Nothobranchius furzeri: one gene and its partners. The main gene of each other region encodes a partner of the protein of the gene in region 2 in a complex. Links are inferred from orthologs where the notes say so. Each region holds a gene or a part of one and is shown on either strand. Other genes may lie near its edges.

Region 1 (5,442 bases), on a different chromosome or scaffold from region 2:
ATGCATGAAACGAACCCGTCAGGCATATAAAAGTTCCCAAATGTGCCTCGATGATGAAGTTTTTTATGATTATGAAAATTTTAATCATAATAAATGTGACTAATTTAGCTAGGAAACACAATGTTTGATCTTTACATTCCTATACTCAGAAATTTGTACCTTTATTATCTTAATAAATAAGTAAATCTTATTTATATAGCACTCATCACAGACAAAGAATCACAAGGGGCTTCATTGAAATCAAAACAAAATTAATCATAAAGTCATAAAATCATAATGATCTTAAAACAGATCTAAATACATAACTAAATAAATAAATAAATAAATAAATAAATAAATAAATAAAACCCACCTTGGAAATAGACTCCAGAGCAAATCTGTAGAATTTTCGGTAAACTGCTGGGATCCAGCGATGCAATAAAATCTTGAAGCGGCAAAGCAATGCCTGCCATGGTTGCTGCCTCGGCGAGTCGAAATAAGACTGAAGACAAGTGTTAAATGACGACTGCAGCTAAAAAGGAGTTGCGCTTCTAGCAAAACCACAAAAGTATATGAGGAAGTGACAGGAGCTTTTGCACAACATTTTTCATTTTTAAGGGAGGGGGGAAGTTTATGAGTTATGACGGAGGCCCTGTTTTACTGTCAAGATTTGTGATTTTAAAAATCGTTGACAGCAGCTTATTGTTGTGGAGCCAATTGAAATGTAAAAAATTCACTGTTAAAACAAAAGTTACTGCAAGGCTAAGATTGGTTCTTGGTTTGTACCAGTAGCTAAATGAAAAACACGTCATTGCCAGATTAGAAAGAAGTGGATGATTGGAAATAAAGTGTGATGAATGTGACTTGTTCTGTTGCAAATAACTGAAAGAAAAACACAAACTAGGAACATAACCTAAAAACTCTCATGTGACTCACCTGGATACATCAAATAGGTTAATTTTAGTCATACCAGTTTTGTCTAACATGTTTCCTGTGACAAACTATGTTTTCAACCAATGAATGATCAAAGGCACCTTACCCAAACATGTTCTTTTTTGTGTTTTATCATTTATAAGGGAACTTTGATGGCATTAGTTTATTTGTAAAAGGACAAAAAGACTGCAGGCTCATTTCCTTCTGCTTTAAAGAGAAACTAAAAGTATGGCAGCTTTACTTTTTCTATGACAAGACCGAAGCCTATGACCCTCAAACCCACAGTTTACAAATCAGAAAGAGAAAATAAGCAAAGCGTCAGTCGAATCTGGCTACTTATTCATCCCTTTTCTGTGTTAAACTCTAGGTGCTGAATCTTTGTAACAAATGCTGTAGGAGGCTTGTGGTATCGCTGTTTCCAAACCAACATTTCAAACTTTTTCAAAACTTTATTTTTTGGGTCTTTACTGAGAATTTGCAATTTGGAGTTCAGAGACCTCCAGTGGTTTCTTTAGGAACTTTAAATTTTATAAAAGCCACATTTTTGACAAATACATGTTAATATCTCTTAAAACAAAAAGGACATTTTTTTTTCTTATTTGAAACATTAAAAAACACCAAACAAATTTTTAATGTTAATTTTTTTTAATGAACATTTCTAAATGGACTTTGAGATAAATCCTTGTTGGTTAAACAAATGGCCTGGTTTTATCAAATAATAAAATAGTGGCTTTTAAAATTATCATCTGAATGAATCTGCTCAAATGTCTTGGGCTACTTAAATTATTCAAACAGAAAACCGTAAGTCATCTCAATCTAGATGTTCTTGTAAAATATTGTTTTTGTTTTGTTTTTGTGGAAAAGGTAACTTTTGCAATTTAGCCCATCCTTCTGTCAAAAGGCACTACCTTTGGATTGGCCACAGTTGTAAGAAATACTTTGTCTTGTTAAATAAAGGTTAAAAGTTTTAAAATAAAAACATCTGGCTGTGTCACACAAAATGCACTAAAAAGCTGTTTTCTAGGGGTGGCCATGGCCACCCCTGGCCACCCTTGGGGGCACCCTTGCGTGTGCTTGATTTGTGTTTTTGTTGGGCTGAAGAGAAGCTGCTTAAGTAAAAGTAAAATTTGTCACCTCCATCTGTCTGAAACATATAAACAGAATCAGTTTACATTAAACAAAACTATGTTGTTATGATGTACATTATCTTTCCAGTATAAAGAAAAACTTATCATTTAAGGTCTATTGTTTTAATATTAACAGAATTGGACTGAAATTATATAATTTGTTTTTATTTAATCATTATTAGGTGAGTAGCTGTTTCCGCCCCTGTTGCGCGTTAATGTTCTCTTTTGATAACAAATTGCAACTTTACACACAGTAGTAGATTTGTGATGATAAAATTAGTGTTTTTTATGAACTATAAATGTGACTTACCTGAACTTTTTTCTTTATTATTTTTAGTAGACTACTTCATACTAACTCTAAAACCCGAATTTAATCATAAACTCAACAATATATAAGTTCCACACACAACCACATCTATAAATGCGAAATATTAGCTTGTTTTTTGTACTTTTACTTTTTTTTAATATGGCGTGGTCTATTACCGGACTACATTTCCCAGCATTCCTAAGCGACAATTACCCAAAATGCATCGTTAACATGTAGAGGGAAGATGGCAGCTAAAACAAGCAAAGACGGTCCACCTTTTGACTGCCCATCATGGTGAGAAAATGCACATGTTGAAGTACTAAAATACCAACTGCAGCGCTTGATTATGTGCAAACGAGCAAAACGACGTTGTTACGTTAACAATTGTAACTTTTATAGAGGAAAGAAGTTCGTTAGCGTTAGCATCCAATCGAGCTAGCAGGCTAACCCCTCCTACAAGGCTAGCCTAAATGCGGATCACGGTTTGCTTTCTGCTTGAAAATGAATGAAAGGCTTGATTTTAAAAGTTTCTCACCTAGTTGAAACGTATAGAGGTGACAGCAGGACATTTTTTGACAGATATGCTCTTGAAGTATTCGGTTCGAGTGAAAAGAGCTAAATGTTTGAATAAATGAATTAAAATTAGATTATAAAATGGTTAAATATGCTGTAAATATATTTATGCACTGCTGTATTTTCTGAGATCAGTTCAGTGTTTAAATAAGTCTCTAATTGTTTCTTATAGGGGAGGAAAACCGCCCACAGGACTGCACTTAGACGTGATGAAAGGAGACAAACTGGTTGAGGTAACTGGAAATTTAAACTGTTATTTAGTTTGGACTCTTTAAAATCAGCTTTAATTATCTCAGTTCTATTTAATTTCTAAGTTAAAAATCCAGATTTGTTTAATCTCTTAAACATAAGCAAATTCCACAATAAAATGTCATTCCTTATTATTTTAAACATCTAATGATTCTGTTTTCCACATAGCAGAACACACATGTGATTGTTACTATTGTACAAATGTTAAAAGCACCAGATACAAGCCTGACAGTCTGCTCCGCCCTGTGCGTGTTGCACAATGGGGTTAACCTATGACTGCATGGCTTCAAAAGGTGCGAGAACAACATCAGCCCTGAGATTTAAGCCCTTCAGTGGAAAGCAACACTGTTGAGTTATAACTCAGAGGCACAAATGCATTAATGTACGCCATTACTAATTCACACCATCCGTTTCTCCTTGTAGAAACTGATCATAGATGAAAAGAAGTTCTACCTGTTTGGTAGGAACCCCGACTGGTGTGACTTCACCATCGACCATCAGTCGTGCTCGCGTGTTCACGCCGCTCTAGTCTACCATAAACACCTAAAAAGGCTCTTCCTTATAGATCTTAATAGCAGTAAGATTTCACAAACACTTTAATTATTTCTCAGTCACTCTGCTCTTTTAATGTATTAATCCTAATTATTATTATTTTTTTACAATTTAAGCACATGGTACCTTCCTCGGACACATTCGCCTTGAGCCTCACAAGCCTCAGCAGGTTCCAATCGACTCTACAATATCCTTCGGGGCGTCAACACGTACCTACACCATCAGAGAAAAACCCCAAACCCAAGGAAGCGCTGGCACCGGCGACAGTAAGACAGGAGATGAGGAGGAGCTAAAAGGACTGCTCGGGCTTCCGGAGGAAGAGACAGAGTTGGAGGTTTGTTAGAATTCAGATCAGCTCCACTGACTCGCCGCTTGTTACTCTTGACTTGTTTTGACATCCTGTTTTGCGCTTGTGGCATCTTAATGGAATTATTTGTATGCAAATTAGCCACAGTGTGAAATGATCTCAGTGTGTTTGGTTTTTTAACTCACTCACTGCCAGCCGTTTCCTGATCACTTACCCCCAAATTCCACTACCTCCGCTCCGACACGAACGCCGGAGCAAAATCGGTCCCGTTGTAGTCAATCAGAGCAATTCCACTACTGCGGCCGTGCTCCGGCAATGCGGCGCAGTGCGCTGCCCTCTGTTCCGGCGTCCGGCAAAAATAGAATCGATCCTATTTTCGCCGGACGCCGGAGCACCTCCGCAGTAAATGGACAGAAATCACAACCGCCCAACAGGAAAAGGAGCAAGCACAACTTCCGTTTTTCACAATAAATCGATAAAAAAAGGCGTTTTTTGTTTCATATGCACAGGTTTAACAACTTTTAACAACTATCAGTGGCGGCTGAAGTTTAAATGCACAAAAGTAAGCCATAAATACAGTTTCTACTATCAAAGTAGTCACACTTTGTTCATCCAAACACTGCTGATCTCTCAACACAAATGATGGGCAGATTAAACAGTTCATGCCGATGCTTCTCCCACACAACGGGTGTTTGGATCTAACTTCCGCGTTTATTGCTCGGACTGTATCGCAAGATCTCGAAAATCCCGTGCATGCTTGTTTGCCCACCTCAGGTCTCCGCACCGGAGCGGAGCCGTTGTAGAGCGGGTACCAGTAAAAATTGAGTTTGGAAGCGAGCGGCTGCGGAAGGCGGGGCGGACCGGACCAGAGCGGAATGGAGGTAGTGGAATTTGGGGGTAACGGCCTTCGCTGCCAGCGTTTCTCACCATTTTTATGATTTTTTTTAAGAGTCACAGAACGTTGCGCGCTAGCATGATGTCAATGCCAAAACAACCAAAAACAAAGAGGAGACTCACCTCTTACATCAGGAAGAAGCCGTGTGTTTCGAGCATTATCCGTTCTTTCATAATCCGTTGTCGAATTGTGATCGGCAGACGCTTTTCCGGTTCGCGCCTCACTTTTTTTTACAGGAACGGCCCAAAACGATCTCCTAACACATGGATGTTCTGCTTCCTGATCACGTGATATGTGACGTATGCGGATGAAGATCAGCTTCAGGGCTGAGATGTTTGTTCTCTCAGGGCGGGGGCTCGTGCCGATGCTCAAACAGTAAAAAAATGCAAATGACGACGTCATTGGCAGTGAATGAGTTAACTGCACCACATTTTTTCCCGACATCTCCAATTTTCTTTTTTTTTTTGTTTGTTTGCTTTTTACTGTTGATTTTTCAGCATTTTGACTTTGTTTATTAAGC
Region 2 (6,114 bases):
CTTCCTGACTGTTCTCCCAAACATGTGAACCTCCAAAATTTAACTTTTTGATTTCTTGAATGTCCCTTTTATATTCTCTAGCATTTCTACTCAGATGTAATTCTATGGTTTCCACATTCCTGTAGAAATGTTTTAATATATGTCCTTTCTCATCAGCACGAGTTATTTTCTACTGTAAATGTTTGTGACGTGAAATTCTGTGAAGTTATTCTGCGGTGCTGAATCATGCGAGTCACTTTTGTCTTTCTTGATTCATTTAATTAAACGTTAAAGCAATAAACGTTTGCATCGATGTAAACTTCATTTATTTTACAGACCTCTATTGAGGTGACCTGTTTGCTGGCTCTCTGTGGTTGTCCCTGTGCGGCGGGGCTGAAAATTGATGATCTGATGACTCCGGACGCCAGCTTTGGAACAGCATTCACTGCAAATCCACGGCTTCCTGTTTCAAGCTGGTCAATGCAAAATATTTAAAGAGTTTTTCAGCGGCACCTTCGGATTGTTTAGTCAGAAACGTGGGCTCCTCTAGTGAAGTTGGGGGTTGTGTGTGAACCTTTTAATCGTGCTATTTTATAACCACATAATTGATATTAGATGCAAACAAGTGTGAGGCTTTTTTTTTTCTTCCAGGGATGCCGTGAGCCGCCTCGCTGACTGCTGATCGGGACAGAACAGAGAGGCTGTCTGACTGCAGCCACTGACCTACATACACACACACTGCCTGTTATGTAAATTCCTCTGCCATCTTTTCAGGGGAAACTGTGCCAACTTTGTCGCCCGGGGTCTTTTTAGAGTAATCCATGTCCAGTCCATCCACTTCTCCCACTTTTATATGGAATAGTCGTCATGGTGACCAGCAGTGCTAAATAGGCATTGAGCTTTTGTGACAAATAACCACGTCTTTTTTATTGGCTGGGTGATTCATAAAGCTTCAAAATGCACCTTAACACTAATTTAAAGAAAATGTTTATGTCATGCTCTGTGAAATATTCCTGATAAATTCCAGCCTTCTATTCAGAGGTCGTCGGTCCATCACAAAGCTGCACAGATGTACAGTATAGATTCACATGTAGGACCGGTTTAGTGTAGCTAACTAACCAAACATGTAAATTATTGGGCTGTGGGAGAAAACCAAAGAACAAACAAAAACATAAACATGCACGCAAACTTAATTTAAAGATTTAGAGCTATCAGCCACACCGCAGTGTGGTCCCTCTATTGGCTTATTTGGCTAAAATAGGTTATTTGTCTTCCATTAGCTCAATTTTCACATGTATTTGGACAAAACAGCATGACAAATGTGTTGTCTTTATTGTGCATTGCAAAAATATTTTTGCACTATTTTCAGCACAAAATTGTAATGGGATGAAAACAATGTAGCTAAATATGTCACAAACTATAGGTGAAGACCACTTTAAATGATTACTATAAAATATGACTAATTCTAAATAAAATGACATCAGATTGAACTGGTAAAAAATATGTATTTTGCACCACAGTGCAGGGGCATCTTCCATTGGCATCTTCCTCTTTAGAGGGCCAAAAGTTCAACAGTTACAGAAATCATTAAATAATTTATTAAATGTATCATTAAATTAAGTACAATCTGAAATACATGAACAGTTTATTCATTATACATTCTTTAAAAAAAGCACCGCACATAAAAGTATCTAATTTATTTTTGAAAGCATAAATAGTTCATGATTTTAATGTAACCATAAGGTTTCTAATACAGGTTTAATTTTTTTTTACTTGAAAAAACTTTTACATAAATCCATTTCTAAATCTTTTAACCTTCGGTTTGGGATCACAACTATGGAAGCCCATTCCCGCCACTCAGATAAAATAAAAAAAAATTATTATCTCATAATTATGACTTAGCTATCTCATAATAATGAGATACTATCTCATTATTATGACTTAGTATCTCATAATTATGACTTAGTATCTCATAATTATGACTTAGCTATCTCATTATTATGAGACAGTATCTCATTATTACGACTTAGTATCTCATAATTATGACTTAGCTATCTCATTATTATGAGATACTATCTCATTATTATGAGATAGCTAAGTCATAATTATGAGATAATAATTTTATTTTATTTTATCTGAGTGGCCGGAATGGGCTTCCATAGCTCTTGACCTGGAAACGTATTTATTTATGTTTCTTTCGGTCCTCCTTATTCTTCAATACGTTTGTTATAAACTCGACTAACTCTGACTGAACTGCGGTTTCTCTTTCAGACCAGATGGTGTCGCTGTTGCATAACTCCGCGACTGCGTCGTTGTCACACACACGTTGACTTTTTAAGAGGTCATAGTTCGGTGGATGCGGAACTAGCATGCAGTAGCAACCAAACATGTCTGTGGTAGCGACTTGGTGTACAGTTTTGTGCTTATACGGATAGTTTTTGCTCCGCAGTGATTTGCTCTGCTGGAAACCTCACGATATTTTTATCATTGTTTTTATCAGGATTCTAATTAATGTTGGGTAAGTTGTTGATAAATATTTAATAATTCGCGTCAGCACAGCGCTGGAAGCGGTTTTTGTGTTTTGCTTGTTTGAGCTAAAGCTAACTAGCTTCATATTAGATATGAAATTAGCTTGTCCACCAAGCTATTAACGAGCACCTAATGCTTTAAATGCCTTTTGCTAACTACTTGTTGATGGAACATTTTACAGTCTCGAGCTTGTTAGCCTCAGTTATTAGCATTGCATTCAGAGTTTGTTTTGCAAGTAACCTTGATGTTTAATACAACTTTTTCACCGGCTAAATATGTGTTGATAGTTTTAAATACGTTTCTTCTTCTATTGTGTTGTTAGTGCCCGATGTTGAAGGTATTTATTTATTAGGTACGGTTTGGCAAGACAATTTGTTTCAGTTGAACTGTGAATAAATATGTTTATTTTCAGTTAAATTTCAAAAGATATTTTAAGCCTATGAAAGACCAATGTAGTTATGCAGTTGTGGACTTTTTCTAATTCTCTTTATTATTTAGATACGGCATGAGGCCCGCCCCGTGTGTGTGACCATTTAGATGTTAATGAATTAAACTAAATTTATTTTCAAAATGAATGTAGAACAAGTAAACAAAATATAAGTTTGTAATAACAAATCAAGCTTGTTAAAGAGCAAGTCACCCCCATAACAATATTTTTTGCTGATAAACCAAATGAGTGTCTAACCGTGCTGTAGACACGTGTAGTCAGTAATTAATCACATTAGTGCATCTCAGTTAAAATTTTAATTTTCTGCCTTTAACAGTCTGTGTTGCGCCCTCATCAGGTAAAAACTGCACTGCATTTCAATTTAAACCTGCCATCCCTATTGGCTAAGAGGTACTGATGTTGTCAACTGGTACCATATGATGTCACAGTGCCACTGTGAGCCTGTATTTGTGTTAGTGGCTCCACTGGGGTTGGACGATGGGGTGAATTTTTCAACCGTCGGCAATGGGCTGAACCATTGCGATTTTTATTACTAGAGGCGATTTGTCTTATTTATTTATCAATGTGTTTTGCTGTGCATACATTTGTTAATGACAGATATTTTACACGTTGCGCACAGACAACATAGCAGCGGGATGAAAAAAAAGATCTCCATCAGTGCATCAGAGCATTATTTCTCACTTATTCCGCATCTTGCTGCTTACATGGCGCGCTGAATAGGAGCTGGGAGTGTCTGTGATGCAATAAACATCGTGCAAAAGAACACAGTGTTGAGTGGAAAGTGGAAACTTTTCTTTCAGAGAGTCTGGAAGACTTATGGTTATTTAATTTGGAGAGATGTTTCCTGATTTTAAAACTTTGGCCTAAAGGCACAGGCACACCGGAGATGGATGAGCTGCATCGTGCCCGCTCCGTAGTTTTAAATAGAAGCCATTATAGTTAATGACAGTGGCTACGCGAAGAGCGCCGCGTTGATCCTAACGTATTCTAATAAATAGCGTACTTACTAGGGTTGTCATGGTAACCGGTGTAGCGGTAAACCTCGGTAAAAAAGTTGACAGTAATAATAACCGTCTTGTTTTTAAAAAATCTATATTATCTCTGTGGGTTTACCGTGGCTGCGGTGTAGGCGCGGTGACCCTTATCAGTCACCGTATCATCTGCTGAAGTTGCCTGGCGCGCTTTATTGTTTACAACCAAAACTTTCTTGAAGCTAAAGCTGAAATAATGGCCAAGGGAGGAGACGGCAGCACTCAGGAGGACATTTTTTATCCCTCAAAGAAGACAAAGTGGGAAGTACGGGCATCTTTTGGATATTTGAAGAATGCCGAGAGACAGCTGATAGAAGACGGCTATCCTGTTTGCAGTACATGCAGAAAAAGTATCTGTGAAAGGCAGCAACGCTTCAAATCTCATGACACATCTGCGTGACCATCACCCACAACTCTACAGTCAACGCAAGGCAAGCTAACATTAGCGTTTTAGCTAAAATGCGTGGTCCGAGGATTTGGGTCGAGGGAGAATGCAACGAGTCGCTATATAAAGCAGCCGCAGCGCCGCTACCTGCATATAAACCGTGTCACGGACACCCCCATGTTGAAATGACGCTATGCATTACGGGGCTCCCAGGGGCAGATAAGAGTTGGTCTCTCTCCGAGAATAATTATGAATTTAACAATGATTACTGCCTGATGACATTTTCCCACATCTGCAAAGCTCACTGGAAGGACACAAACCGAGGACAATATTTTCCTGATATAGGGTTTATTACTCAAGTAAGGGTAAAAAAGTATCTGATTAGAAGGCTGCTTGAGTACTGAGTATCATCTGATCTAATATTTTTAAATGATGACATCAAACAGACATAAAACAAGAAGTTATGGTCGAATATTGGTATTTTAAAGACTAAAGGGAAAAAATGTAAACAAATAAACAACATAATTACAAAATAACACATTTAGGCAAAATTTAGACACAAACTGAGGACAATATTTCCTGACATACAGGGTTTATTTAATTGTGTGAAAATGTAGCACGTTTAAAAAAATACCGCGATAATACCGAAAACCGTGGTAATTTTGGTCACAATAACCGTGAGGTTAAATTTCACACCGTGACAACCCTAGTGCTTACCCATATTTAATAAATTAGTCTCACAAAACATGACGGCAAGTTTGATCACATATAAACAATAGTCACTTCCCCCTTCCTGTTCTCAAATCCCACGTGATGTTGTGACTGATTGTTATTTCAAAAATGAAAGTGACGGGGATAACTGGATCATGTGACCTCTGGCTGCAATGCTCTCTACTAAGAGGCCGTCCAACTGCAGCAGCAATTAATTTCATTTCTCAGTCATAAAAGAAAGAAACCCAGTAGCCTTTGTTCAGGGAAAAAAAAAACCTTTTGCTTAAATAAAATACCCCAATAGTGGCACCGCAGAGAAGCAAAGACGAGGCTTCTTTTTAACATTTTAACTGTGTTTAATACGAGCTGTTTATACGTCACTCTACCAAACTACAAATACAAAATTAAATAAAAAGAAAAATCAAACTTTCTCCTTCAGCAAACATTTGCAAAAAAAAACCCAAGTGTTTGTACTTCTATTGTAATCAGTCATGACGTTGCTCAGAGTCACATGCACAAATAGATCGCCCATCGTCATTTATTGGACTGACTATTGGCAGTGGCAAAAATTGTACAAATCGCCCAACCCTAGGCTCCGCCCTCTCGGTCTGTCAGCCAACAGCATTTCTTGCATTTTTCAAATATGAACTGGGAGTGGAGTAAGACTCTGGTAGGGGGTGACTTGCTCTTTAAACTCCCATCAGTTTCAATTTTGCAAAAGAGAAAAACAACAAAAATATATTTTAATGATTATTAGTCATATTTAATCCTGACCGTTTGAGAATTTCCCAGAAAACTTTTTTATTGTTTTATTAATATTTTGTTTCCCAGCATCTGCGTACTTTAGGAGGAATGACCACCATCGTCCACGACACCACAGAGGCAGTGTGTCTGTCTGCTGAGTACAACCTGTACCTGAAGCCCATTGCCAAAATGACCGTCAGTGTAGCTTTGCCTCAGCTCAAGCTGCCAGGCAAGAGCATCTCCAACTGGGAGGTGATGGAGAGGGTAAAGGCCATGGTGGCTCCAGA
Region 3 (5,337 bases), on a different chromosome or scaffold from region 2:
CTTTAAACTGGGGCTCCCTTTGACATTTGTGGATATTTCATAATACAGTTATAAAATATAATAATATTTGCTAAAAGTATGTTTACAAATGCCCATTTAGCTAACAAGGCAGCAACTTAGTTTGAAATGTTTAAAATGGCAACTGTAGACAAAACATACAAGTGATTATATTTGGCTCACCATTTAGCAATTTTTGTCTCTTTCTTGCCCCCAATGACGATAAACACTTATAAAGAGTTACAGATGAATTAATTTCAACATATTTATTAACATTTACCAATCATTTATAAGGGGTGCCTTATTGTAAAGTGGTACCAACAATTATTTGGGGTTAGTTTGGAAAAATCCACCATTTCAAAGAAATAAGAAAACAAAGTACCGAAAAACTAATACCTGACTCTTAATTAGAGCTTGGTTTCAAAACTTGGTGCCTCTTCAGTCCGAAAATACTTAGTAGGTATTGGTATATTTTTGGTGCTAGACGTTGTGGTTTTGGCTTGGTTCAAAGTTAGCAGCCCTCTGCGGGCCCCTGGTGGCCCTATGCAATGCATGCCCTGCTTATTAACACACAATGCATCTATTTGAGCCGAAGTATGCACTGTCTTTAATCGTGAAAAAATAAAATAAAATAAATAAAAGCTGACCCGAGTCTACAACCTTTGTCCTCTGCTGCATCAACAGCAACAAGAAAAATAGCCAGGTCTCATGTTTACAGTGTACATAGTTTATCTCTTATTTACATTGTATGTTTATTCATTTTGTATTTATTTTGGGATCTAAATATTTTTATTTCATGTTTTTAGAGAAGATGTTTCATATGTCTTGCACCAAAGAATATATAATAGTTGCACTTTATTTTCATACTGTTAACCTTTGCTTTGTACTAAAAGCTAAATACTACCTTTTCCTATTTATAAACTGTATATATATATAAACTATTACATTTTTAAGATGACAGTAAAAAATGTTGCTTCCACCATTTAGACAAGCCTCTCTCAGTTAAGTGGATACAATATGCATATATTGGCAAACATACAACAAGGTACCCCCTGGTACAGAGTTTGCTCAGAGTAAGGAAACAACTTGATATGTTAATATGAGATTAGTAATCTTGTATTAGGAAATACCTGGCTAAAGGTGAGCAGTAAGCATCACGAGGGCCTGCAAAATTCATGGTTCCCTCTTCGAGAACTGTCCGCCCAGGCAAAAACTTTAGACTGTTTGGATTTGGAGTATCCTGTGTCTGCACAAACATGGACCTTCCTGTAACATAAAAAATGTAATGCAAATTTTTAAAAAGGGCTACAAGAGAATTGTGGTCATTTTCTGCATGTGCAGAATGCCCGATTTTCTCACAACACCTAAGCATCTGACATCACTGTGGAAAACGTGACAATAAAAGACAATCACTCTTATTTAATAAAAAGTCACACTAGAGGTTGCAGCAAATAAACAAACCAGGAACAGTCCAGAAGGGGTTTTGTGGCCATCTGTTTGAAACTCCAGTAGCTTGCGAGGGCCAGTGGAATCCATTGCTCTGACATCCACTGCCAACAAGACTGAAAATAATGAACAGATAAACAGTAATATAAAAAAAACATTCTTTATTATAAAAAATATTATGCTGTTGTGTGTAGGGACGATTTCTTTACCGTCACTAAAATGTGGCAATAATAAGACGGGTAAACTCCTGTTTAGAAGATGTGCGAACAAGCTCCTACACTGAACAGGAACACCAAATCAAATACAAATGCTATAACTAAGGAAAGCAAAACATTAATAAAAAGGCAATGGCGCGATGACAGAGTTGTTTCAGCACGCTTTAAAAACGCGTTCTGCACATTTGTTCTGGTGATTTGTATTTTTTCCCCTACTAAATAAAAATGATCAAAAAGATGGATGCAAGATAAAAATTTATTACATTTATGCAGGTTTGTTTAGTGTTAATTTTACTTTAAGGGCATTTTTGATGGGAAAAAACATCGTAATGAAACATTCCTCGTTTCCAGACCTAATGTTTAGTCTGCGTCATTCCACACTAAACCAACAAGCTTAAACACAGTCGCATAGAAATGACTCACATGTTGCAAAAAGTAAAAGAAAAAAAATTAAACACAATAGAAGGTAAAATCCTGCAAAATATCCACTTACGGTCGTGAAAGTCTAGCAGAAATCCCCAACAACCCGCTAACGTGTTTATAAGCCGCCATGATTGTTATGGTTGTGATCCTTCAAGAAGAACGGAAGTAGATTATACTTTTCCGGAAGTGACGAATATTTTTGTACGTCTGTTAAAGTTTCCCCCCGAAATTATCAGCGTCAAGCTTACGCGCAGTAAGGCGCTGCTTCTTCAAATATTTACGTTAAACTATCTAAATATGCCTTGTGGTAGGCATTTTAGAAGAAGACAAGATTCGTCGGATGATGAAGAGGAGGATGAAACAACAGAAGAAGTCAGGTAAAATACTCGAACAACGAGTTGTTAAGATATATGTTGTGTTAGCAAACTAGCCGCTAACCCAAAATTAAAGTAACAGAACGCCATTGTTGTTAGTTGTATTTTAATAAGCTGCCTACCTAAATATGTTTGTGCTTTTGTATTTTTTTTTCTTAGATCAAAAGTAGAAGAGGCTAAAGAACTTCAGAGTTTGAGGAAACGACAGAGCGGAGTCAGGTAACATGTTAATATGAATGTAGAATGGAAGACATCTTTATTATGTAGCACGTTTCACACAGAAGCAATTAGTTGTGCTTAATGTCAATACTTAACTGCTTGGATGTGAATTAACTTACACCTTTTACTTTTTGTCTAGTGTGACAGCTTTATTGGTGGGAGAGAAACTGCCTCCAGAAGTCGAAATTGATGTAAGTTTTCTTTGGAAAAAAAAATGTGTGTGTGTGTTGAATAGCAACATGTTGAACGTTTACTTTTTTATTGATCACTTCTGACAGAATGATCCTTTCAAACTGAAGACGGGAGGAGTTGTAGACATGAAGAAAGTGAAAGACAGGAATAGAGACATGTGAGTCAAGTTTTCCACCCTCAGGTGCAACATAGATACCTGCCTGAATGCTTTGTACAATTAAACCAAATCCAGTTAATCGGATATGACTGACTCATCCAGGATGATTCATTAACAGGACAGAAGATGAAACCGACCTCAGCCTGGGCACTTCATTCTCCGCCGAGACCAACAGAAGGGATGAAGATGCAGACATGTGAGCTTTTCTTTAAACTGTATTATAATCATTTCCTCTTCAGACTCAACATTGTCCAACCTCTATTTAAATTGTGCTCTGTTTTTTTCCTCTCTAACGGAAATTTCTGACTTTTGAGATAATTTTTCTCATGTCAAGAAATTCAATAATAAAAAAATTAAGAGGTGTGTGTAGGTCGTCAACATTCATGTCCCTTTAAGAAGCTGTACCACCCTGAGCCAAAATGTGACTCAACCTAACACATGTGACAGCCCCATCTAGGCCATATCGCCCAGCCCTAAAAGGAAGGTGTTCAGTTGATTTCCTCCGTCTGGCAAAAAATATTCCATCATACATAATAAAGTTGAATTTCCACAAAGAAAACAAATTAAAAACAAGTTTGGTCCAACAATGGCTGCCCTGGACAAGAAATAACACTGGTGTTTACCTGGGTTTTCATCTCTTTAAACAACTAAAATAGTGTCAGTATTTGTCAGAAATCAAATTTTGCTCAACAAAACAATTTATGCACCAACCCCTGAATTAACCAGCTGTTAATGTTGACTGTAAAATCAGTCAAACTACAAAGACTGCTTTTGTCTGAGATGAAATGGTGTTGGAACTTTTGTTAGCATGTTACTGGCTGGCTTCATTCAGCATTTTAAGAAAAGGCTTTTTATTCTACTAAAGAAAGTTGGAAAAGCAATCTCAATTCTTGAATTACATGAACTTTGTTACTAAATATTTAAGTATCTACAAGTTAGTATTCAAAATCTTAACGTAGCTGCCATCCAGTTGTTCGTGTGGGACATTTCCCATTGTGTTTTTCTTTACAGGATGAAATATATTGAGACAGAGTTAAAAAAGAAGAAAGGCCTGGTGGAGGCTGAGGAACAGAAAATTAAGGTGAAAAATGCAGAGGACCACCTGTACGAACTTCCTGAGAACATCCGAGTGAACTCTGCCAAGAAGACAGAGGAGATGTTGTCCAATCAGATGCTGAGTGGGATCCCGGAGGTTGACCTTGGCATTGAGTAAATTCAGAAGATTCTTTAATAATTCAGCTCTTTTTATTTTACTCAAATTAATCCCTGTCGTTTCATTCTCAGTGCAAAGATTAAAAACATTATCCAGACAGAAGAGGCAAAAGCCAAACTTCTGGCAGAGCAAAGGAACAAGAAGAAAGACCTCGGGACGTCGTTTGTTCCCACGAATATTGCTGTTAATTATGTCCAACATAACCGCTGTGAGTTCAGGCTGTCTGCATCCGTTCCAGCTAGAGGAGAAAAGTTTGTTAATCATGCTTTTGTTTTCTTTTAGTCTACCATGAGGATGCAAATGCACCACAAAGGCACAACAGACACAGAGAAGAGCCCAAAGCAAGACCGCTGCGAGTGGGCGACACAGAGAAGCCAGGCCCAGAGGGTACGAGACACGACCACACAGTCACAGATACAAACCAAAAACACTTTTTGGTTCCTTTTTTCCAGAAACCAAAACCTGTACTCGTTTCTTTTGTCTGTCCGTAGCTCCGTCGCCACCGAACCCACGCAAACGTCCAAACAACGAGAAGGCCACGGATGACTACCACTACGAGAAGTTTAAGAAGATGAACCGAAGATATTAAAAAGTTGCATCTGTTTCCTCCACACAATGGCATCTGAAAATGTGAGCCGTTGCTAATTATTATTGAAAACATTTGTTGACCAAAATGTTGAAGCTCCAGATTTGTGTGATTTCCTGTTTGGTTTTTCAAACAAGTCAGCAGCTTTAGCTTCACTCTAAGTCTACAGTATTTTAGAGCTGGCTGTTCAATTATTAAGTGTGTAAAAATATATCTCGGTTTGTTTTTTTAAAACAAGAACCATACTAAAGTTTAAAAGTGATGCACTTAGCTAATGAGATGGAATAACTAGAGCAGCTGCTTGAAAATGAGACGTTAAGCAATAAAAAACCCAAAGCTGAACTGTTGGCTGCCATGTTTATCTTAAAAATAAAAAGTAGCTAATTTAAGTGGTTTACATGTAAACAAAGAACTGTAAGTATTCTGCTTTGAGCTAAATTTAATGTAAATGTCGTTTTTTTTAAATACTTTTTAATGCAAACCAAGAGGAACATTACTAATTTAGGTTTCAATAA

What was found.
Region 1: akap17a (region 2) and ppp1r8b share a complex: the UniProt entries of both Homo sapiens proteins name them as parts of the spliceosome. The link is inferred for Nothobranchius furzeri from reciprocal best matches to the Homo sapiens genes AKAP17A and PPP1R8.
Region 3: akap17a (region 2) and c17h9orf78 share a complex: the UniProt entries of both Homo sapiens proteins name them as parts of the spliceosome. The link is inferred for Nothobranchius furzeri from reciprocal best matches to the Homo sapiens genes AKAP17A and C9orf78.

The regions. Positions count from the first base shown.
Region 1 is NC_091745.1:71,999,128-72,004,569, forward strand, and holds the start of ppp1r8b (protein phosphatase 1, regulatory subunit 8b), read left to right. Parts: upstream 1-2,384; 5' UTR 2,385-2,590; coding exon 2,591-2,640; intron 2,641-3,091; coding exon 3,092-3,152; intron 3,153-3,376; exon of another isoform or gene 3,377-3,542; intron 3,543-3,591; coding exon 3,592-3,745; intron 3,746-3,836; coding exon 3,837-4,054; intron 4,055-5,442. Other genes in the region: protein THEMIS2, read right to left, coding at 353-452. UniProt on the Homo sapiens protein: Inhibitor subunit of the major nuclear protein phosphatase-1 (PP-1). It has RNA-binding activity but does not cleave RNA and may target PP-1 to RNA-associated substrates. May also be involved in pre-mRNA splicing.
Region 2 is NC_091754.1:16,998,750-17,004,863, reverse strand, and holds the start of akap17a (A-kinase anchor protein 17A), read left to right. Parts: upstream 1-2,316; 5' UTR 2,317-2,497; intron 2,498-5,914; 5' UTR 5,915-5,935; coding exon 5,936-6,114. UniProt on the Homo sapiens protein: Splice factor regulating alternative splice site selection for certain mRNA precursors. Mediates regulation of pre-mRNA splicing in a PKA-dependent manner.
Region 3 is NC_091757.1:40,165,592-40,170,928, reverse strand, and holds c17h9orf78 (splicing factor C9orf78 homolog), read left to right. Parts: upstream 1-2,279; 5' UTR 2,280-2,378; coding exon 2,379-2,458; intron 2,459-2,614; coding exon 2,615-2,674; intron 2,675-2,813; coding exon 2,814-2,865; intron 2,866-2,952; coding exon 2,953-3,023; intron 3,024-3,141; coding exon 3,142-3,219; intron 3,220-4,034; coding exon 4,035-4,232; intron 4,233-4,307; coding exon 4,308-4,444; intron 4,445-4,518; coding exon 4,519-4,623; intron 4,624-4,727; coding exon 4,728-4,825; 3' UTR 4,826-5,164; downstream 5,165-5,337. Other genes in the region: NFU1 iron-sulfur cluster scaffold homolog, mitochondrial, read right to left, coding at 1,128-1,263, 1,459-1,559, 2,152-2,210. UniProt on the Homo sapiens protein: Plays a role in pre-mRNA splicing by promoting usage of the upstream 3'-splice site at alternative NAGNAG splice sites; these are sites featuring alternative acceptor motifs separated by only a few nucleotides. May also modulate exon inclusion events.